Diceros bicornis minor: one gene and its partner. The protein of the gene in region 2 interacts with the protein of the main gene of each other region in a pairwise test. Links are inferred from orthologs where the notes say so. Each region holds a gene or a part of one and is shown on either strand. Other genes may lie near its edges. The genes, in order: TFCP2 and PHF1.

Evidence for each region.
Region 1: the proteins of PHF1 (region 2) and TFCP2 interact in binary tests that used the Homo sapiens proteins (3 or more experiments, as listed by UniProt). The two-hybrid records come from large-scale screens. The link is inferred for Diceros bicornis minor from reciprocal best matches to the Homo sapiens genes PHF1 and TFCP2.

The regions. Positions count from the first base shown.
Region 1 is NC_080756.1:18,721,826-18,731,952, reverse strand, and holds the start of TFCP2 (alpha-globin transcription factor CP2), read right to left. Parts: upstream 4,637-10,127; 5' UTR 4,230-4,636; coding exon 4,108-4,229; intron 1-4,107.
Region 2 is NC_080753.1:31,077,613-31,087,676, forward strand, and holds the start of PHF1 (PHD finger protein 1), read right to left. Parts: upstream 4,566-10,064; 5' UTR 4,088-4,565; intron 4,065-4,087; exon of another isoform or gene 3,834-4,064; 5' UTR 3,813-3,833; coding exon 3,740-3,812; intron 3,356-3,739; coding exon 3,180-3,355; intron 3,088-3,179; coding exon 3,006-3,087; intron 2,897-3,005; coding exon 2,801-2,896; intron 2,342-2,800; coding exon 2,241-2,341; intron 2,138-2,240; coding exon 1,989-2,137; intron 1,812-1,988; coding exon 1,716-1,811; intron 1,526-1,715; coding exon 1,457-1,525; intron 1,314-1,456; coding exon 1,190-1,313; intron 1,081-1,189; coding exon 1,013-1,080; intron 845-1,012; coding exon 740-844; intron 618-739; coding exon 428-617; intron 340-427; coding exon 245-339; intron 1-244. Other genes in the region: kinesin-like protein KIFC1, read right to left, coding at 5,530-5,574, 8,355-8,430, 8,575-8,648, 8,750-9,040, 9,602-10,064. UniProt on the Homo sapiens protein: Polycomb group (PcG) that specifically binds histone H3 trimethylated at 'Lys-36' (H3K36me3) and recruits the PRC2 complex. Involved in DNA damage response and is recruited at double-strand breaks (DSBs).

The DNA of each region.
Region 1 (10,127 bases), on a different chromosome or scaffold from region 2:
CCTCCCTTATCCGCAGTTTCACTTTCTACAGCTTCAGTTACCTGTGGTCAATCATAGTCCGAAAATATTAAATGGAGACTTCCAGAAATAAACAATTCAAAAATTTTAAATTGCTTGCCATTCTGAGTAGCATAAAATCTCACGCCATCCTGCCTGGGACGTGAATCATCCCTTTGTCCAGCGTATCCACACTGCATACGCTACCCGCCTGTTAGTCACTTAGTAGCCTTCTCGGTTACCAGACCGACTGTCGTGGTATCACAGTGCTTGTGTTCAAGTAACCCTTATTTTACTTAATAATGGCCCCAAACGGTAAGAGCAGTGATGCTAGGAATTCGGATATGCCAAAGAGAAGCCGTAAAGCACTTCCTTTAAGTGAAAAGGGGAAAGTTCTCAACTTAATAAGGAAAGAAAAAATCATATGCTGAGGTTGCTAAGATCTACAGTAAGAACAAATCTTCTATCGGTGAAATTGAGAAGACGGGAAAAGAAATTCGTGCTAGTTTTGCTGTTGCACCTCAAGCTGCAAGTTATGGCCACAGTGTGATAAGTGCTTAGTTAAGACGGAAAAGAAATTACATTTGTGGGTGGAAGACACAAACAGAAAACATGTTCCAGGGGCCTGGCCAGTGGCATAGCGGTTAAGTTCGCACATTCCACTTTGGTGGCCCAGGGTTCGCAGGTTCAGATCCCAGGCGCCGACCAATGCACCGCTTGTCAGGCCATGCTGTGGCGGGATCCCATATAAAGTAGAGGAAGATGGGTACAGATGTTAGCCCAGGGCCAATCTTCCTCAGCAAAAAAGGAGGATTGGCAACGGATGTTAGCTCACGGCTAATCTTCCTCTCAAAAAAAAAAAAGAAAGAAAGAAAACGTGTTCCAAATGGTGGTGACGTGTTGTGCCAGAAAGCACTGAGCCTATACGAAGACATCAGCAAGGGATCCCCTGAAACGTGTGACACCAAGCCTCTTACTGCAAGAAAGGGATGGTTACACAGATTCAGGAATAGATTTGGATTGAAAGAGAGAGAGACCACATTCACATAACTTTTATTACAGTATAATAATTGTTCTATTTTATTATTAGTTATTGTTGTTAATCTCTTACTGTGAGTAACTTATAAATTAAACTTTATCGCAAGTATGTATATATAGGAAAAAACATAGTATAGGGTTTGGTACTATCCGCAGTTTCGGGCATCCACTGCGGGGTCTTGGAACGAACCCCCAGCTTATAAGGGGGGACCACTGTATATAATATATCCAGAATAGGTAAATCCATAGATACAGATTGCATATTAGTGATTAGCAGGAAGAGAGGGGAAGGGGAAATGGAGAGCAATTGCTTAACAGGTACAGGGTTTTCTTCGGGGGTGATGAAAATGTTTTGGAACTAGATAAGAGGTGGTGATTGCACAATATCATGAACATACTAAATGCCACTGAGTTGTTCACTTTAAAACGATTAATTCTACGTAATGTCAATTCCACCTCAACTTAAAAAAAAATGGAATGAGAGAAAGGGGAAAATTTAAAAAAAAAAACCACAAAATTTAATCTTTTTACTCTTTTTTTATAACAGTTCTATTGAGATACAATTTATATACCATACAATTCATCCATTTAAAGTGTGCAATTCAATTGTCTTTAGTGTGGTCACAGAGTTGTGCAACCATCATCACAATTTTAGAACATTTTTATCACCCCCCCCGAAAAAAAACCAGTACGCATTTGCAGTCATGCCCAGTCCCTCTTCCTCCACAGCTCTAGTCAACCACTAATCTACTTTCTGTCTCTATTGATTTGCCTATTCTAGACATTTCATAGAAATGAAATCAGATGTTATGTGATCTTTTGCGACTGGCTTCTTTCACTCAGCATATTTTCAGGGCATTTCCTTTATTTTAACCATAAAGTTTGTGCCATGTATTAAAACATAAGGAAAAAAGTAAGGAGAATATTCAAGGACCACTTATGAAAAGAACTTTACTGAATACAATGGCGGATCAAGAATCAAAAACAGAAATCCAGTTCAGATGAATCTTCATCAAATATAAATTAACAGATATGAAGCGAAACTATTATACCATGTAGCAGAAAATAAGCAAACTAGGGTAAAATAAATACATTAAGGAAAATATTTTACAAAACAAATTGCTTGTCAAAGAGGACATCTTGCCTAAAAAAGGTGTAGGACAAGCGATCACAAGGTCTAATTACAGGAAGAGCAAAGAATCACTGTCTTTGTGTCTAAAAACTGCTCCAGCCAGTGTTTCTCAAAACAGGGTCCCTGGACTACCTGCAGCAAAATCATCTAAGAACTTGTTTTACAAAAATCAGATTTCTGGTCTGTGCCCCAGTCACGGAAAATGGGGCCCTGGAAACTATTTTGAATAAGAACTCCAGATGATTCTCATGAATGCTCAAGTTTGACAACTAATATCTAATTAACACAAATCAATGCAAATGATTAAATGTATGTAAGAGTCAAGAGAAGTTACAAAAGCAAAATGGATGAAAAAGAGGAAGGTGAAAAAAATACTTAAAATTTTGGCACAGTGTGCTCTGGGGAAAACATAAAGTGATATTTGAAAACTCACGCGGATTTGATGATGGAAAAAAATTCTAAATGTGTACATATGCAAGCCATTCTACTAATACCTGTGAAGGCCACTCAGGGTATGACACAGGAAAATACAAATGTAAGGTTGCGTGGTAGAGAGAGCACGTAGTAGATGAGCAAATGTTTGCTGACAATGTTAACTATTTTTATAACAAGTACAGTTATATTTAATTATCTCCAACCCAAAATCCAATAACCTAGACAAAACCAAACTTTTTGCTGTAGTAATCTTTACATGAACAGCATAAACTGTCAAATATTATGTCAGATAACTGACATGCAAGCTCAGGGCTGGGACATTTACTTTCAGACCAAGTTAATCTCTATTTTTATGGTCAGACTTACGTAAACAATGACAGGCAAAACCAGAGTTAAATTCCTCAAGACTAACAGCATTGCATGATAGAACTCAAATTTCCCTAAAAATCATGAAAATATGTATACAAGGAGAGCCTTTATTATCCTAACTGTAAGCAAAGATTTCTGAAGATGAACTATTAAGTTCTAACTCGTAATTTTACTTCAGTGAGGAAAGTCGACTTTGGTTTAGCAGGGATAAAGAAAGGAAGTTTCAATTACATAACTCTCAAAGGACCTCACTATCAGATGCAGAATTTGTCCTCCATAAAAAGCGTCTTTCCCCTATAAACCCATAAACTCAATTAAAGTGTTAAGTTGTAACATCTCTTTTGACTTACTTATTTAGATTAAGCCTTAAAATGCATTTGGAACCCCAATTATATTCCATCTAACCCTAAGATGCTGGTAATTCAACATTTCCAGACGTGATTCTTGCACATCCTATAAATGAAACAAACTGCTGGGGGAATGAAATAGCTAATGCATGCAAATAAATTACACGGGAAGTTATGCTGCTTTCAAAGGAGACTTTTATTTATTATCAGCATTTAGCTTGATATACGAAGGTCTAAGCATCTAAAAGTTCTCTATGACACTTTTTCATTTCACAGCTTATGTTTCAAAAATCAGAAACCCTAGAACTAAGTAAAGTCTTAAAGTAGGCTAAAATACGGATGGGTGAACTTCTTCACCAAGGTCTCACATTTCCTCACAAAAAGCAAACAATTTTCACTAAGCCTACCTCCCAACTCCCCAACTCCCTAGATTTCTCTCACATGCTCAGTTTGGCCTCCTCTTCACACAAGTCCAGCCCAACCCATCCACACACACCATCAGTCTCCAAGTCTCCCACACCGGCACAACAACCTCTCATCTGGTTGCTAATCCAAGGCCCTTCTTTCTTCGACTTATCTTGCACAGACTTGACATGCCTACAATCTCTTGTTCCATTTCTTCCACAACAATCACTACTCAAAGCAACCTAAGAAACAAGTCCCTTTTCCCTACCCGCAGACAGCTTCTTTAACTCTATACACCTCTTTTTTTTTTTTTTTTTTTTTTCCTTATTCTCTATCCTGCCTTTGTTATTCAGAAGGTGCAGGGTCTGGGAAAATCTCACTCACCTCATGCTATAGGCACCAGCACCCAGTTCCTGGCCGATCCCGGAGAGACTAGCATCAAAGTCCTGCACCAGCCCGGATTCAATCACTTCATCGGCCAGAGGCAGCTTCAGAGCCCAGGCCATCCTGGCTCCTTCGCTGCCCCAGGAGACACCGTTTTCTTGTACAAAGGCGAGTAGTGTGATTCTACCCACCAGGGGCAAGACTGTAGAAAACTCCAAACCAAGATCTCCCACACAGTACCTACCAGCCACCCCCAAGCCCAACCCGCACTGCCCGCACAATCTAACTAACCGCCCGTACCCTTGCCTCCTTGCTCTTGGCTGCCCCGACTGAAAACCCCTCCCACCCAGCTCTCTGGAGCCGCACGAGGGCCCCTTTGCTTAACTACTCCAGACTGCCCAGAGGCAGCCCTGGACTCCCATACTCCCACTCCTTGGGTTCGTGGTGGTCACACTGCTTTCCAAACAGACCAGCAGCGGCACGCGCCGCCTACCCGGCGCTCCCACTCCGCTCTCCCACCTCTCCCCCCGCCCCCTTCCACTGGGAGCCCCCTCCCTCCGGGGACCCGCTCTCCCTGTCCCCTCCAGGCCTGGCTTCCGGTCAGTCCCAAGATCACTTCCGGTCACCCCCGCTCAACCCCACGGCTCTTAGAACCAAATCCAGGTTTCCGCCGAGCCGACTCCCCTCCCTCTGCAGCCCCCCACGGCCTCGACACATGGAAGGGAAAAGTCCGACACCGGCGTGAAACCCAGACTCGCCGAGCTCCTCCACCGCCCGCGGCCCCAGCGCCAACCAATCATGGCGCCCTCTTCCTTTGCCGGTCCGGCGAACGTGACGTCACTCTGCCGCCCGCCAATGGGGAAGAGACGTCGTCGGCCTCGGCAGTGATGATAGGCTAGCTACGACACGGCTTCCCGCCCCCCGGAGATGGGCTGGGCAATCCGGGAGAGGGCCCGGCGTGCGTCAGGTGTCCCGGTTTAAACGTCCCTCCTTGTGGCTACCTGAGTTTTGGCATCCGCTACTTACCGAGTCGGAACCCTAAGGCGTGGGTGGAGCTTTCGCTCTAGGTGTACCGAACCCACACCCAGTCCTGGCGGACGCGTGCTCGTTTCCTCCTGAGATACTCTCTGTCCTTAGACTCACTTCTCCGGAGGTCAAGACTGCTTAAATCCGATTTCCCTTGATCATTTTACTTTCTGCCTTCTTCCTAGTGCATTTGAACAGGAAAGCATGAGATGGGTGAAAGTGTTGTGGTTTTTAAAAGGTAGTGGTCTGGGGGCCTGCCCCTGGCTTAGCGGTTAAGTGCGCGTGCTCCGCTGCTGGCGGCGGGTGTTTGGATCCCTGGGGGCGTACCAATGCACCACTTCTCCGGCCATGCTGAGGCAGCATCCCACATACAGCAACTAGAACGATGTGCAGCTATGACATACAACTATCTACTGGGGCTTTGGGGGGAAAAAATAAATAAAGTGGAGGAGGATGGGCACGGATGTTAGCCCAGGGCCAGTTTTCCTCAGCAAAAAGAGGAGGATTGGCAGATGTTAGCACAGGGCTGATCTCCTCACACACACACAAAAAAAGGTAGTGGTCTAAAGATTGGAATTTGGGCTGGCATCTTCACTTACTAGTTTGGTGACTTCAGAATAATAGCTTCATCTCATTGAGATTTAGCTTCCTCATTTGAAATGTAGGAATAACCATACCTGCACCACCTTCCTCCTTTGGGGATTAAATAATAATGTCCATTGCTTATTGGGCATTAACTATATGGCAGGAACTTTATTACATTATCAGTAATCCTCAAGACAATCTTGTGACTAGAATTATCTTTCTAAAGGTAAGTGTTATGGACCTGATTTTACCAATAAGGAGAGGAGGCTAAGGGCTTAAATTGGCCAAAGCTAAATTGGTGTGCCAACTTCAGAGTTGATTCCAAAGCCTGACATTTTTCACTACAAGGCATTGCCTATATGTGAAAGTATTGGTTCATTGTATTCCACTACTGAATTTTTTACAATCTACCTTGAATTATAATTTCGTATATATCTGCCTTTTTCTCTAGACTGTGATCTCCTAAAGAATAGGGAATAAGTCTTCTTCAGGCTTGTGTTCTTAATATCTCCTAGTATAGTTCCTGCATTCAATAGGACTTTAAAAAATACTTATTGAATTTAAAAAGGAAAGAAAGAGAGGAGAGAGGTTGACATGAAGTTGACAGCATACCCCCAGTTTCAGCTACAGTCTTCTCTCTTTGAGGGCTCTAGTCTTACCCATCTTCTTACCTTAATAAGCTCTGGCATCCAAGTCTTGGCAAAATCCTTTGTATTCAAGCAGTGTATCTAGAGTATTTTAAAACATCTATTAGGTGGAACCATGCCTTGTTTGAACAACAGCTCTGTCACTAGATGCATAATCTTGGGCAAATAACTTTACATCTCTGAGCCTCAGTACTTTAATCCATAAATTAGTGAAAATAATACCTCCTCCTAAAATTGTGAGGATTAAATGAAGTGCCAAGATGCCACAAAAATAATAATTATTCAATAAATGTTAGCTCCTGTCTCCTACTACCCCATTTCCACTTCTCTGTTAAGATTGGGTTGGTATTATCATCCTATTTAAAAACATTAATTTACATTGTATGGTGTGTTATAATTTTGGTATCACTTTAATGTATATTTAATTAAAACATAATTAAATATGTCTTATTTAATCCTCATGAAAGCGTTTGTTTTGTTTTTTTACTATGCAGAAACTGAAACTAAGAGAGGGAGAGTGTTCAAGCAGACTGCAACCTCTTTAGAAACCATCCTGAGAATTATTCTGTGATTCAGCGACTCCACTCTATATATGAACCCTAGAGAACTCTTGCACATATGTACCAGGAGACTTGTATGAGAATGTTCATGCCAACACTATTTATAGCAACAAAACAGAACAAAACAAATGTCCACCAACAAGAGAACGGATAAATTGGCGTGGGATAGAAGATTATACAGCAGTAAAAATGAATAAAACTTTAAAAAATGAATAAAGCTATACTCAACCAAGTGAATAAATCAATCTTAGAAACGTGGGGGAAAATGGGGAAGTCCTCATGCAGTGTAACATCGTTTTATAAAGCTCAAACCCCAGCAAAATTAAGCAATATATCATTTAGGGAAATATACACACATTCCTTTAAAAAAGGAAGGAAGGGGCCGGCCAGGTGGTGTAGTGGTTAGGTTCAGATCCTGGGCGCAGACCAACGCACCGCTTAACAAGCCATGCTGTGGCAGCGTCCCATATAAAGTAGAGGAAGATGGGCACAGATATTGGCCCAGGGCCAATCTTCCTCAGCAAAAAGATGAGGATTGGGAACAGAAGTTAGCTCAGGGCTGATCTTCCTCACAAAAAAAAAGGGGGGGGGGCGTGAAAAGATAAACAAGACTCTGTGGTGGCCACATATAAGAAAATGTGGTGGGGGTGGTGGGGTGCTGGTAGAGGAGGAACTCAAAAGTAGCTTCAACAGTGGTAGTTAAGTTGAGTGGTGGTGTTACGAATTTCACCTCACTCACACTCAGAGGAGCTCCAAGGAGGGGCCCACATGTGGGCCCTGTACCCACAATCTGTCCCTTCCTTGAAGGGTTCTTTCCTATTTGGTGTCGCAGATGTGAAATGACATAGAAGCTGAGAGGTCAGCGGCACAAGCTTTGTTCAATGGTCAAAGAATGGAAAAGCGGGACCTAAGTTCACAAATCCACTTGTCAGCTCCTGGGGTGATTAAGCAGCTGTTATAAGGGGTCTAGGTAATGAAGGGGAGGAATATTCATAGTTATTTGGGGAAATGGGCAGGCTTTTCTGGGGAGCGAGGGTGCCTCCTCTTTTCTTATTTGGTTATATCCTGCGGTTGCCATGGCAGTTGTAAACTGTCATGGCGTCGGTGTGTGTGTTCTGTAATGTGGTAATGTACTATAATGAGCATATGAGGAGCTGTGGGGTCTATGTCAGGTCAAGTCGGACTGCCATGTTGCCTTCAACCGGTTTTAACTGGATTTGACCTATGTCTCAGCCATCTCCTCCTTCCTCTCTTTGTGGTTTCCTGTAAGTTAAAGAGAACGTGTTAGGCTTGTTCTGAGCAGGGTTGTGGTTAACGCCTTATGAGGTCAGTGGGCCAGGTAACAGTAGATCTGTGAGTTATTATTTGTTTCATCATTTTGCTTCATAAATTACCCAAAAAGTGTGGTCTTGAATATGTAACAAATATTACGTAAATTAGCAGCTGAGCCAGGAACTACAGTCCAGGTCCCTGATTCTTATAGCTGAGATCTGCCTACAGTGATGCCTCCCTGCTGGTGGTACAGTCCTAGGAACTGTCCAGACACAGAGCAAATAATAGCTGATAATAATGACAGGCCCGTATCTACTGAGCCCTTCCTAAGTGCCAAACCCTGACTAGGTTCTTTACGTATATTATCTCATTTCATCCTCACATCACCACTGGAAGGAAGGTACCATTATTAAACTTATTTCATAGATAAGGAATGTGAGGCTTAGAAAAATTGATTGGCCCATCCAGGGTCACCCAGCTTGAGAGTGGTGAAGCCTCACTGATTGACCACGCAGTCTGGGCGTCTAACCATCACGCCACGCTGTGCGTGTGGATGCTTATAACCTAAAAAATACCTGCTTCCTACCTATCCTTCTTTTCAGAGATGAATTTTGAAGCTTGTGGGGTGAGAGAATTGAATTTTCAGAAAACTGTAGCCCATGAAGGAATATTGGATGGAGCATGTTTTCCCTACACAGAAAAATAGCTTAAAGGAAATGGATTTAAAATACAACAAGGAGTATTCACATTAGATGTTTGGAAGAGATGATTGTGCCATATCCAGGAGTCTCATGGAACCCTGTCCTCTGGAAAATACTTAGAAAAAAACAGACATGTACTTCTTGGAAATGTTTGAGCCTAAGTTTAAATTCTGAACCAAAATAAAGATTTCACGAAGGTCCTGCTTACCATTTATTAATTCTAAAGTAAACCGAGGTGAATTGAAAGGTGACTCTTAAGCTTTGACCCCTCCCAAGTGGAATGCAGATCAGTCTTGAGATTTATGCCCTTGAACTCGGTTCTCCTGAGGAGAGAAGACCTTACAGACTGTTTACGCCTGGAATTCTGTGAGTTGGGGGAGTACACTTTTTCCTTCCTTATCTTCCCCAAATGTAACCAAGAGCAAAATTGGAGTGCCAGGGCTGGAAACAGGGATTCCAGTGGCAGGCTGGGGGATCTGCCTCCAAGAAAAGACCTCCAGGTGTTCCCCTGGAAATCCAGAAACACCTATCAATAAACCAAATTTTTGTACCCATAAATTCATCCCACAACAAAAATCATGGCTCCTATTAGACCTAATAAATATGACTAATTAACCACAGCACCTGTGGCACAGAGCTCCAAATTTGGTGTTCTGGACCGTTGGGTGAAGTTAGGGCTCATTGTGAAGGGTTCATTTCCCTGGATTAGGTCCTGAAACTAGACACTGTGTAGATGGAACATAGCAGAGCCTACACTGGTGGGGGGAAACATGTGGAAATCCTACCAAAAAGATCAAGATAGACAGCAATCCTCAGGTCCCACCCTGTATGGGCTAAGGTTAAGCACACAGGCTTTAGAGACAGCCCACCTGGGTCTAAGACTTCCTTCTGCTGCTCAAAAACAAAGCAACCCTGAGTAAATTCCCCATCTTTTCTATTCCTCAATTCCTTATCTGTAAAATGGGCATAATAATAGTTCTTAATTTATAGAATGATGGTGAGAAGTAACTGAAATAATGCACGTTAAGTGCTTAGAAGAGTGCCCAGCACATAGTCAGTGATCAGTACAGGTTAGCTATTGTTATGATTGACAGAAAAGGGACCCTAGCACTTGTCCTGCCTACCTCTGAAGACAAATCAATTGTCTCAGAGGCTTGAGGGCTCAAGCTCCTTGGATCAGCACCCATCCATCCCCTAGGCTTCCCTTCTCACCCATTTGCTCAAGTCAG
Region 2 (10,064 bases):
CAGGACCTGGGAACAGCACCCTCTCCCCCTGAGAAGGGCAGAGCTCAAAAACTACCCCCAAGGAACCCCCATCCCCTGAATACTGGGGATCGGACATTGGTTCTAGAAGTCTCTCTAGGACAAGAAGTGAGTAGCCAAGGGGGAGAGAGAAAAGAATTTTGGGTGAGAAAGTCCAGAGGATGTAGACAATTGGAGGAGAGGTTCCAAGGGAGCATATCTGGTTGGAGGGTGGAGGAGCACTGACCTGGGCAGACAGCGGGCATCTGTGGGCCGGAAGTTGTAGCCGCTGCTGCCCTGGTAACTCTGGTTAGGGCTGGGGGGTGGTGGAGACACTGAGGCCTGGAAGAAGGAGCACAAGACTGAGAGATAATCCTTGATTCCTTCCCACACCGCCATTTGCCCCATGGCATTCCCTCTGCCCCTGTACCTGCAGTGCCCTCTGCAGACGAGCCCGCTCCCTCTGCTCCTGGGGCTTGGGCTGATTGCGCACTGCTGAGGGTGGCCCCAGCTCCTCCATTTTCCCCTTCTGCCTCCTCCTCAGGGGCTCTGGCTCCGGCCTCCGGCGCTTCCCCAGGGGACGTGAGACCCCTCCCCCAGGGCCCTGCCCTGAAGGGAAGCTGTAAGAGGCCTCCTTATCCCCCCAGCCCCCTCCCGGACACCCCAAAGACCTCCCCATCTCCATACATATACCCCCAGATTAATACCCTGAGAATTTCCCCATCCCCCCTGGACCAGTGACCTGGTGGGGGCTCCATCTCCAGTAGGGGGCTCCACAGGGGGAGGGATCCGAGCATGGAGACCAAACAAGCATTTCCTCTTCTTAATCTCCCTCCCTGAAATGAAACTGGGGTGAGGAGAGAAATGACATAGGGTCAGTGCTGTAGAAAAGCGCCCCTCTGATGCCATTATTCAGTCCTTTTCAGAGATGATCTTCCAGGTAAGTTGTGGCCTCTCCCTTCCCAGGCTTCCATATCCATATCTCCATCTCTTTCTGAGCCTCCTTCCAACTTACCGGTCCTTGTGGCTGTTGAGAGCAGATAGGAGCTTGGAAGAACGTTCTCCCTTGGGGGTGTCTGAGAGCTGGGAAAGCGGAAAGAAAATGGGATCAGGGGAGCAGTGATCCCTCCCTTCCCCTATTCTTCACATCTCCTTGTTTCACCCTAACCCCCAAAGCTTCACTACCCCTTACCTCCCCAAGGAGCAAACTGTCCCAATTCTCAGAGGTGAAGGGGAGGATCTCGCGGTCAAAATCAAAATATTTTTTCTTACAGCAAACGCTGAGGTGATAGAGGACAAGATGGGCCACATCCACCCTGCAGAAACATTGAGTTGTCAGGGTTGTGGAAGCATTACAAAAGCCAAGGGAGTCCTGAGGTGGAAGGTTGGGGCATGTAGGGTGAAATACTGGGGCTGTTGAGAGAGGAGTTATGCTGAGGTTGTGCCCAATCCAGCTCACCAGCGAAGCTGTAGCCTCCTGACCTTCTCCGGGCCCCCCCGACACACACAGCATTCAAACTCATAGAACCTGGATGTGGACAAGAGGGAGAGAACACCCCTTACACAGGAAAACTGTACCATGCTACGGAGGACTCACAAGCAAGGATGGGGCGAACAGGTGGGGGAAAGCTTCAGAGGTTGGGAAGAGAAGGGATCTGAGAGGGTGGAGCAGAGCAGGAGGGCTCCCTCGGCTCCTGGAGAGTCTGCCCTGGTCTCACCTGTCCCCATAGAGGAGGGGCTTGCTCAGACACTGGGTGCAGGCCTCGTGGAACCATTGCAGGCAGCTCCGGCACTGTAGCATTTTCAGGTTCCACCTGAAGGGGAGCCAGGACTAATGACCTCCAGACACTTCCCCCCTTAACTGACCCAAACCACCTACTTTCATCCCCTTCAGCACTCCCCTTGCCTTGTTTTTTATCCTTCACTTCCTGGGATTCCCCCCACCACCACATCACACTCATTCCTTAACCCCCCCGCCCCTCATAACTCACTCCCCAGGGCCACCACAGTAACAGTAGCTCTGTTGCCGGTTGCTCAGATGTCCAGCGTCCCAGTCCAGCCCCTTTAGTCCGTATGGCAGAGAGAGCTTCATGCCCAGCATGGCACGGGCATAGGGGCCCTTCTTCAGTGCACCACCCCTCTGCAGAGACAGAACAGGCACGCCAGGCACCTCAGAGGAGTGGGGACAGGAAAGGCTTGGGAGAGGATGTGGGTGGCAGGCTCCCACAGGAAGGTGCCTTTACCTTGGTGGCGATGGCAAAGACACACTGGCGGCAGACCCAGGATGTGCCCTCTCCCTCTCCAGGGGCTGGGGCCCTTGGAACATGGCAGTCCTGGTGATAAGCTGAATAATGATAATATTGATGGTTGACCACTTATTGCAACTGGTATGTGCATGTGTATGCAACCTGTGTGTGCAAGGTATTGGAACAGGAAGTCTTATCCATCTCATTTAATCCTTGACCATGGTCCTGCTGGGGTGGGTGTATTGCCCTTATTTTACAGGTAAGGGAACTGAGGCTCCTAGAAGTTTAGGGACTTGCCCAAGGTCATATGACTAGAAAAGAGTGTATTTGAACCACCCTCTGCACACAAAGCTCACACATCCCCATTCCATGGCTGCCTCTTGCTGTGCTAGAAAGGAATGAGCTTACAGGGTTGAGGAGACTGGCAAGAGCAGTGGCAGTAGCCGGGGGACTCAGGCCAGGACAGGTGGCATAAGGACCAGTGCTGGAGGGAGGAGTCAGAAGTAGCCTGGAAGGCCCAGGGCAAGCTGGACAATTCAGGTGTCCTGCCCTCTCACCGTGGCGACACTTCTCACAGCTGACCAGCCGGTTCCCAGGGACCACGGTCTCAGAGCGACAGACACAGCAGAGGAGTTCCTCCCCAGGGAGAGCAGCTGTGAAGGAACACAGTGTCAATGGGCCTGTGCTTGAGCCCCTTGCTGTCCCCCAAGCCAGTTTTCTGTTTTCTGTGGGATGTACACTCTGAGGCCTTGGGGATCTCACCAGGGCTAATATCTTTCCATAGAACCAGAAACTGAGAATCATCCTCAAACTGGACCAGACACACCTCCCGAACGCTGTCCACCTGGAATGGGTGAGCACAGAGGATGAAACAGGAATCAGAAGTAGATAAGGGGAATGGGGAAAAGGAAACAGGTCAGAGGTCAAAGGTCTTACCTTCTTGATGGTCCCCAAGTATAGAAGCCCATCTGTCCATCTGGCCAGCACATCTTGACCCTCCCAAAGTCGAGGCCTGGGGCCTGAGGTGGGAGCAGGGGAAGCTGGATCCCAAAGAGGGAGGGCACCAGAGCGGCTCAGCCGGGGGGGCTGTGCCATTGCATCCTGGGGGGGGCCTAGCCAGAAGTGGGATGGGAGGAGGAGGAGGTTATGAATGCTGAGAGACTGGCCCCATTTTGTTTGCCTATGTTTCTTTCAAGGTCTCAGGCGGCTGTGCCCCCAGTCTCTAAATCCCTGAGACATCTGGATAGGAAACCTCTCGGCACCCCTCCCAAGCTTCTTGACTCTAGTTCTCCCAACTCTAGTGACTGGCTCTCCTTTCCCTAACCAGCCCCCCAACCTAGTTGTCTAGTTTCCCAGCTTCCAGAGCTCCCCTGGGATATTATATCCTGGCCTGAGATTTCAGCAGAAACGATGGTTGCAGAAGCAAAGGTTACCACTCAGTTTCTACTGTCACCTTCTCTTGCTGTTGAGAGGTATCATAATTGGGGTGCTGTTACCCAGAGATGTGTTTTGGGAGCTTTTCGGGAGATGTTTTCCAGAGTAGAAACAGCTGCCTCCCGGGGCCGGCATGTCTCATTCAGAACAATCATCCTGGTGCCAGGTTACATCAGGTCACCCTCAAATTCGGGGCTCCCTGCCCCCGGGTTAGATAAGTTCCCTGAGTGCCCCGGGAGGGGGGCGTGTCCCAGTCCCGGTCTCTACTCCCCATGACGGCGAGTCCGAGAGGGGACTTGAGTCGGCCCAGCCGGACCCGATGCCAGAGCGGCGAGGCTCTCCCGCCCGCGCCCTGCGCGCCGACCCCCGGCTCCCTGCCCCCCCACGGGCGCCTCCCGCCGCCTCCTTACCAGTGACAGCTGGGGCCGCCGAGAGCCGGGCAGTGGCAGACGTGGGAGACCGAGGCGAACCCCCCGCGCGAGGAGGGCACGTCTGGGCGTCGGGGGGCGTGCAGGCAGAGGCCGGGGGGTCCCCAGGCCCAGCCCCTCCGTCCCGGCGGCTCTGGGGCGTATGACGCAGCAGCCAAAGCAGCGGCAGCGGCAGGAGGAGGCGGCGGGGGAAAGGAGGGGAGAGGAGGGGAGGGACAAACCGGCTCGGGGGGAGGGTGGTGGGAGGGGAGGACTGGGGGGAAGGAGGAGCCGGGAGGGGGGGCGGAGAGGCGGGCACCACCTCACCCCACCTCCCTCACCTCCAACAGGCCTGGAGGGCGCCGAGCAAGCGGCGGCCTCTCCGCAGCTGAGCCGGGCGGACGGTCGGACCCCGCGGGAGAGGGAATCCCCGCAGCCCCTTCCTCCGAAGGGAGACCCGCCCTCGGGGCAGGAGGGAATCCCCCCTCCCGGCAACCCGCCTTCGGACTGGCCCCCGCCCCATGCCACATCCGTTAACTGCCCCCCCCACCTCCACGGTCACTCCAAGCCCCGCCCCTCGGCCCCAGTTCACGACCCCGCCCTCCAGTCACCCTTCCCATTGCCCCCGCCACGCCCTCCTCCATCCGTTGCCCCCGGCCCCGCCCTCCCCGTGGCAAGTTGTCCCCCCGCCACTGCCGCGCTTCTGCGCACGCGTGACCCCTCCCGCGCGCGGCACCTGGGAGCACTGAGCCCCTCCTTCATGGGGCGGCGGCCGTTGGCGGTTGGCGCGAGGGATTCGGCGGGCGTGCGTCCCGCCCCGCGCTTCCAGGGCGGGGGCACGGACCAGGAGGTTCGTACCGAGGCGGTGACGCCACCTAGAGCCAGCCAATGGGCAGCGGGCGGGGCCGGCCCTGGCCGTTCGAACGGGAAGGCAGGGAAAGGGCGGGAGAAAAGAGCCAGCAGTTTGTGGGAGGGCGCGCCGGTCCCGCCCCTGGGCTCGGGTGCCCACCTTCCCACAGCTACCGCAGGAGCATTCCTGCCCGGGGCTGGCGTGGCCCGTGCAAGGGGGAGCCCCAACTAGTGACTGTGGATGGCTAGCGGGCACATATCCTGGATGTGGACGACGGGGGAGGGCATGGGAGCTGAAGGCCACCCAGACTCCAGGGGACGGCATGTCAGGGAGAAAAGCCAAGCCCTCGCTCGGCAAAACACAAATGCTTGGCCGACTGGCCAGACCCATAGTTCTCATCTTTACAGATAAGAAAAATATCTCCCTTCTTGGGCAACAGCTAATACAACCTTTATTTTTAAAAAAACAACAAAAAACTGTTCTTTATTTGATAGGCCCAGGTAACACAGCGCCCCCTCCCAACGAAGCATCCCTCAGCCTCCCACTCCGTCCCCGCCCCCCCCCCCCGCCCCCCACAGAGGATCTGGATCTGTCTTCATTTCCTGTTGGCCTGGGCAGTACCAATAACACACTGGTTCACCTGTGGGCAGGTTTAGACAGGATAAAAAAATTTTCAGAGTAACCAAAAGAATAGTTTTCCCAAGATCACCTCCCAACCCACACTATTAGGGCTGCCCTCAGAGAATACTGAAATAACAGCTCTGAAGGCAGGTTCGGGCTGGTCTCAGTTACAGTGAGTTCTGTGCCCACTAGGCACACCAGATCTGGAAGAGGTGAAAAGGCCTGAGAAGGGATGGCAGCCCCACACAACAGCAGAGAGGAGCTTCCATTTCTAGAGATACTGTGGACTAGAGACCCCAAAGCCCTCCCACTACTAATGCTTAATATGCTAGATAAAGCAATAACAACACTCATTTAGGAACCAAGGCTCCTTGGAAAATGAATGATTCCAAGTCTAGGGCAGGAAATGTACAAGATGAATCTGGAACAAAGATTACTGGGAACTTGTCTAAAGGACACAGGAGCCAACTTGAAGGAGCTCCCACTGGCCAAAGATGCAACAATTTGAGCATCAGAAAGAACAACTGCAAAGGATATCTATCAAATACACAAGCATCTGTAAAATGATACCCCCAGATAAAAATTCACTGGTTACCTTTGGAAGTTGCCAGGATATCAACTTAACATACTGAAAATTGATAAAGAATCCAGCATTTATCCTGCCTTTCTTCTAGGGACTGAGTTTCAGAATAACCAGATAGATAGCAAGGGGAAGTTCTTTAGAGAAGAATTATGACTAATAAATATAGAACAATTTGAAAATCACCATTTTAAAACTTACTAATGAAATAACAGATCTAGGTATGATCATTGTTTGATAAAACCACTAGGTGAAAAAGTCAATAGGGAGTTTTAAAATGGACAGATCAGACTGACAACACCAAAATCCAATGATCCATTTTTCTATCATTAAAACTGGAACAACTAGATATTAGGTGCCTCCTGATATGATGCAATAGAAAGTGTACCACACCATCTAACTTTTCTTGCCAAAAAATCTGAGCCTGATTCAAATCTAATCAAGCCTCTAAATCTAACTACCAGATAACAAAAATTATGGAGAAAAAAGGAAGCAATAAACCAAAATCCAGAATGTAGTATATTGTATAGGACAAATGACCCTATTTCTTCAACAAATAAATGCCAAAAAGGGGGTGCAGTTTCTATAGACTTAAATTTCTTTTAGAGACAATTTCAACCAAATGAAAGGGGTAGCCCTTGCTTAAATCCTGATTGGAACAAACCTAATGTATAAAAGAGATAATCAGGTGAAATTTAACATAAACTGGGTATTAGAAGATATTAAAGAGTTCAAGTTGTTGGGTATTCATGATGTTGATATAACTTTATTGAACTTGCAAGACAGCACGGGAAATCCTGATCAAAGCACAAGACCAGGGCAGGTGCTGAGGCGGCTGACTATGTCCATGGCAGCAACCGGGGCTGAAGCCCAAGAGCAGCAGGGCTCACCATCAGAGACCCTAGGTAAAGCCAGGACCCATCGTAGGGCTGTACTCTCAGGAAAACGAGTAAACAGAGGAAAAAATGACCCTCCAGAGGCAGACGGTAAAGAAACTTTCTGACTTAACTCTAGTGGAGGGGAGCATAAGTCTCCTAGAGATTAATGGCCATGGCCACAGCCAACCCTCATGGGGTTTGGAGCCTGAATTGACACTATTTGGAATGGTCTGAAAAACCTTTAAGTCTCCTTTGATCCAGCAATCCCATTTCAAGGAATCTCCCCCTAGATAGTTAGATGCAACTAAACAAATACAGAATGACATATGTACAAGATTAGTCAATACGGCCTTGCCTGTAACAGAAAAAAGGTGGAAACAATCGAAGTGTCCAGTGGAGGGAACTGGTGGATAAACTTTGGTGCATCCACACAATGGAGTCCCAGGCAGACATAAGAATAATGGGATGATCTCTGTGTGCTGGTGGGGAGTAATCCTGGGGCTGTCTTGTTAAGCAAAATGCAGCGCGGAACAACATATATATGAGACAGAGAGGATGAGGGATGTCTTTTATATAAGAAGGAGAGGAATAAGCACATGCATATTGCTTGTAGTTGCAAAAAGAAACATTGGAAGGATAAGTAAAATGATAAATGATAAAAATGACTCCCTCTCCTAGGACAGGAAGGGAAGATGGGGTGGAAGCAGTGGTGGTAAAACTTCATTTGTTGTGTATAGCTTTCTATATAGTTTTGACCTTCCTTTTAACGACCTATTTTTAAAAACTTAATTAAAAATCCCCAAAAGCCAATACATAAAAAATGGATCCAAGCAACTAGAAGGATGTGCAGCTATGACATACAGCTATCTACTGGGGCTTTGTGGGGAAAAACAAATAAATAAATAAAATTATTAAAAAAAAAAAAATGGGGGGCCGGCCTGGTGGCGCAAGCGGTTGAGTGCGCGCGCTCCGCTGCGGCGGCCCGGGGTTCGCTGGTTCGGATCCCGGGCGCGCACCGACGCACTGCTTGGTAGGCCATGCTGTGGCGGCGTCCCATATAAAGTGGAGGAGGATGGGCACGGATGTTAGCCCAGGGCCGTCTTCCTCAGCAAAAAAGGAGGAGGATTGGCGGATGTTAGCTCAGGGCTGATCTCCTCACAAAAAAAAAAAAAAAAAAAAAAAAAAAAAATGGATCCAGGTGGGTAGTGCCTCAGATGCCTGGCAAATATAAATCCTTTCTGGATGAATGTGCCTCCTGGCCTAGAGGACAGAAGGGGTCAAGATGGAGAAGCCTTACAATGCAGGGGTCCTGACAGGGCCTGGGCTTGCTGGTAAACGCACCTTGGAGGCAAAGCGTAGGGAGTTGAGGGACTCGGAGACATTCTCTTCTAGGGGGGAAATGTTCACAAACATGAGCCTGTGGAGAGAGGAAAGGGGGCCGAACCCCAGGATCAGCGGCTGGGCGGAGCCTAGACCAGGTCTCCACTGTTTCCCCTTTCCCACCCCTGACCCCAACATCACAGTTCCCACCTGACCCCTTCCGCGTGTCTCTATCACTCACATCTTAGCACTGCCACCCAGAGAGTTCTGCAGCAAGTAGGTGAGCTTGCTGTTCCGGTAAGGTATGTGGGACTCCTAGAGGATTGAGGGGGACAGATGATTAGGAGAGGACAGGGTTCAGCATGGCCAGCCCCAACCTATCACCAGGTTCCAGCTGCCCCCTCCCCCATTCCCACCTTGTTGCTCAAGGCCATGATGACCAGCCCCAGCGTGGACAGGCTGCTGTTAATGGCCTGTGTTTCCCGAAGGCGTTCCCGCTCCCCAGGGCCAAGGGCTAAGCCGGGGTCTAGCCGCTCGCTCCCGGCCAGGTCCACAAGACTGAGGGGGGCCCCGCACTGCAGGCCTCGTGCAGCATGCTCCCCAGAGATCTGCAGCTGGAACACACTGTGACTGCGTGATGACCGCTCGTTCTGGGCTGTGCGGGCTACAGCCCGGTTCTGGCGGGCCAGATGGAGCAGGGCCTCCACCTGGGGATGGGGAGCAGCAAGGGGCAAAGGCAGGCAGGAAGTCAGTACGCAGTGATGTCAAGTATGGCATTGAACGAGAGTCAGCACCTGCCCTCTTAGACCTTTCTTTCTAGCCAGTGAAGAGACAAAAGAAATAAGTAAAATGCACAGTATGTCTGAGAGTACTAAGGAGTAAAATAAAACATAAAAATAGTGTATGAGGGTGGGGTGAAGGTTGTGATTTTAGTCAGGATGGCCAGGGACAGCCCAGAGTGTGACTGGCGGGCAGAGGAACAGCCAGGAGGCCAGCATGGCTGCAGTGAATTGGGCAAGGAAAGTAGTAGGACATGAGACCTGGGATGCAACAGGCAGGGGGCCAGCGACACCCCCCTTCAGCAGATGCATCACTCCTCTCCACTCCCTGGTTCTATTAAGGCAGATCCACCTTACAGCCCACCAGCTGAAACTGCATGTGGCAACCTATCCTTCAACTTTCTCCTGCTCCCTTCTCTATCCACCTCCATCTCGTGTCACCCTGCCACTCCTCCCCATTTTCCAGTCCCAGTGCCCATCAGTGCTTACCTCTTTCTCACAGGAGACAGGAACATATCGGGCATTGGTGACAGTAAGCTCCTCGCTCCCTGGCCCCGCCCGGCGAATCTCACACTCACCCCCCTGGCCCTTCCGTGTCCCAGTGGCCAGCAGGTCTCGGACAGTCTCATTGTAGATCTCTACATAGCTTGCCACAAAGCTGTAGGTCCATCCCTGGCCACTCAGCTCCTGAGCCATGGAGAAGAGGTGCCGCAGGGCCCGAGGGATCAGCCCCTCCACCTGGGGGTCTCCCCCAGGTCCCCCCTCCATTGTGAAGGTCTTGCCGCTGCCTGTCTGGCCGTAGGCAAAGATGCATACTGGGTAGCCATCCAGGGCTGACTGGACAAGCATGGCAATCTCCTCAAACACTTCGTCCTGTCCACTCCCTGGTGGGAATACCCGGTCAAAGGAGAAGTCATGGCGGGTGGGGGGGGCTGGTGCCCCACTCAGGGTC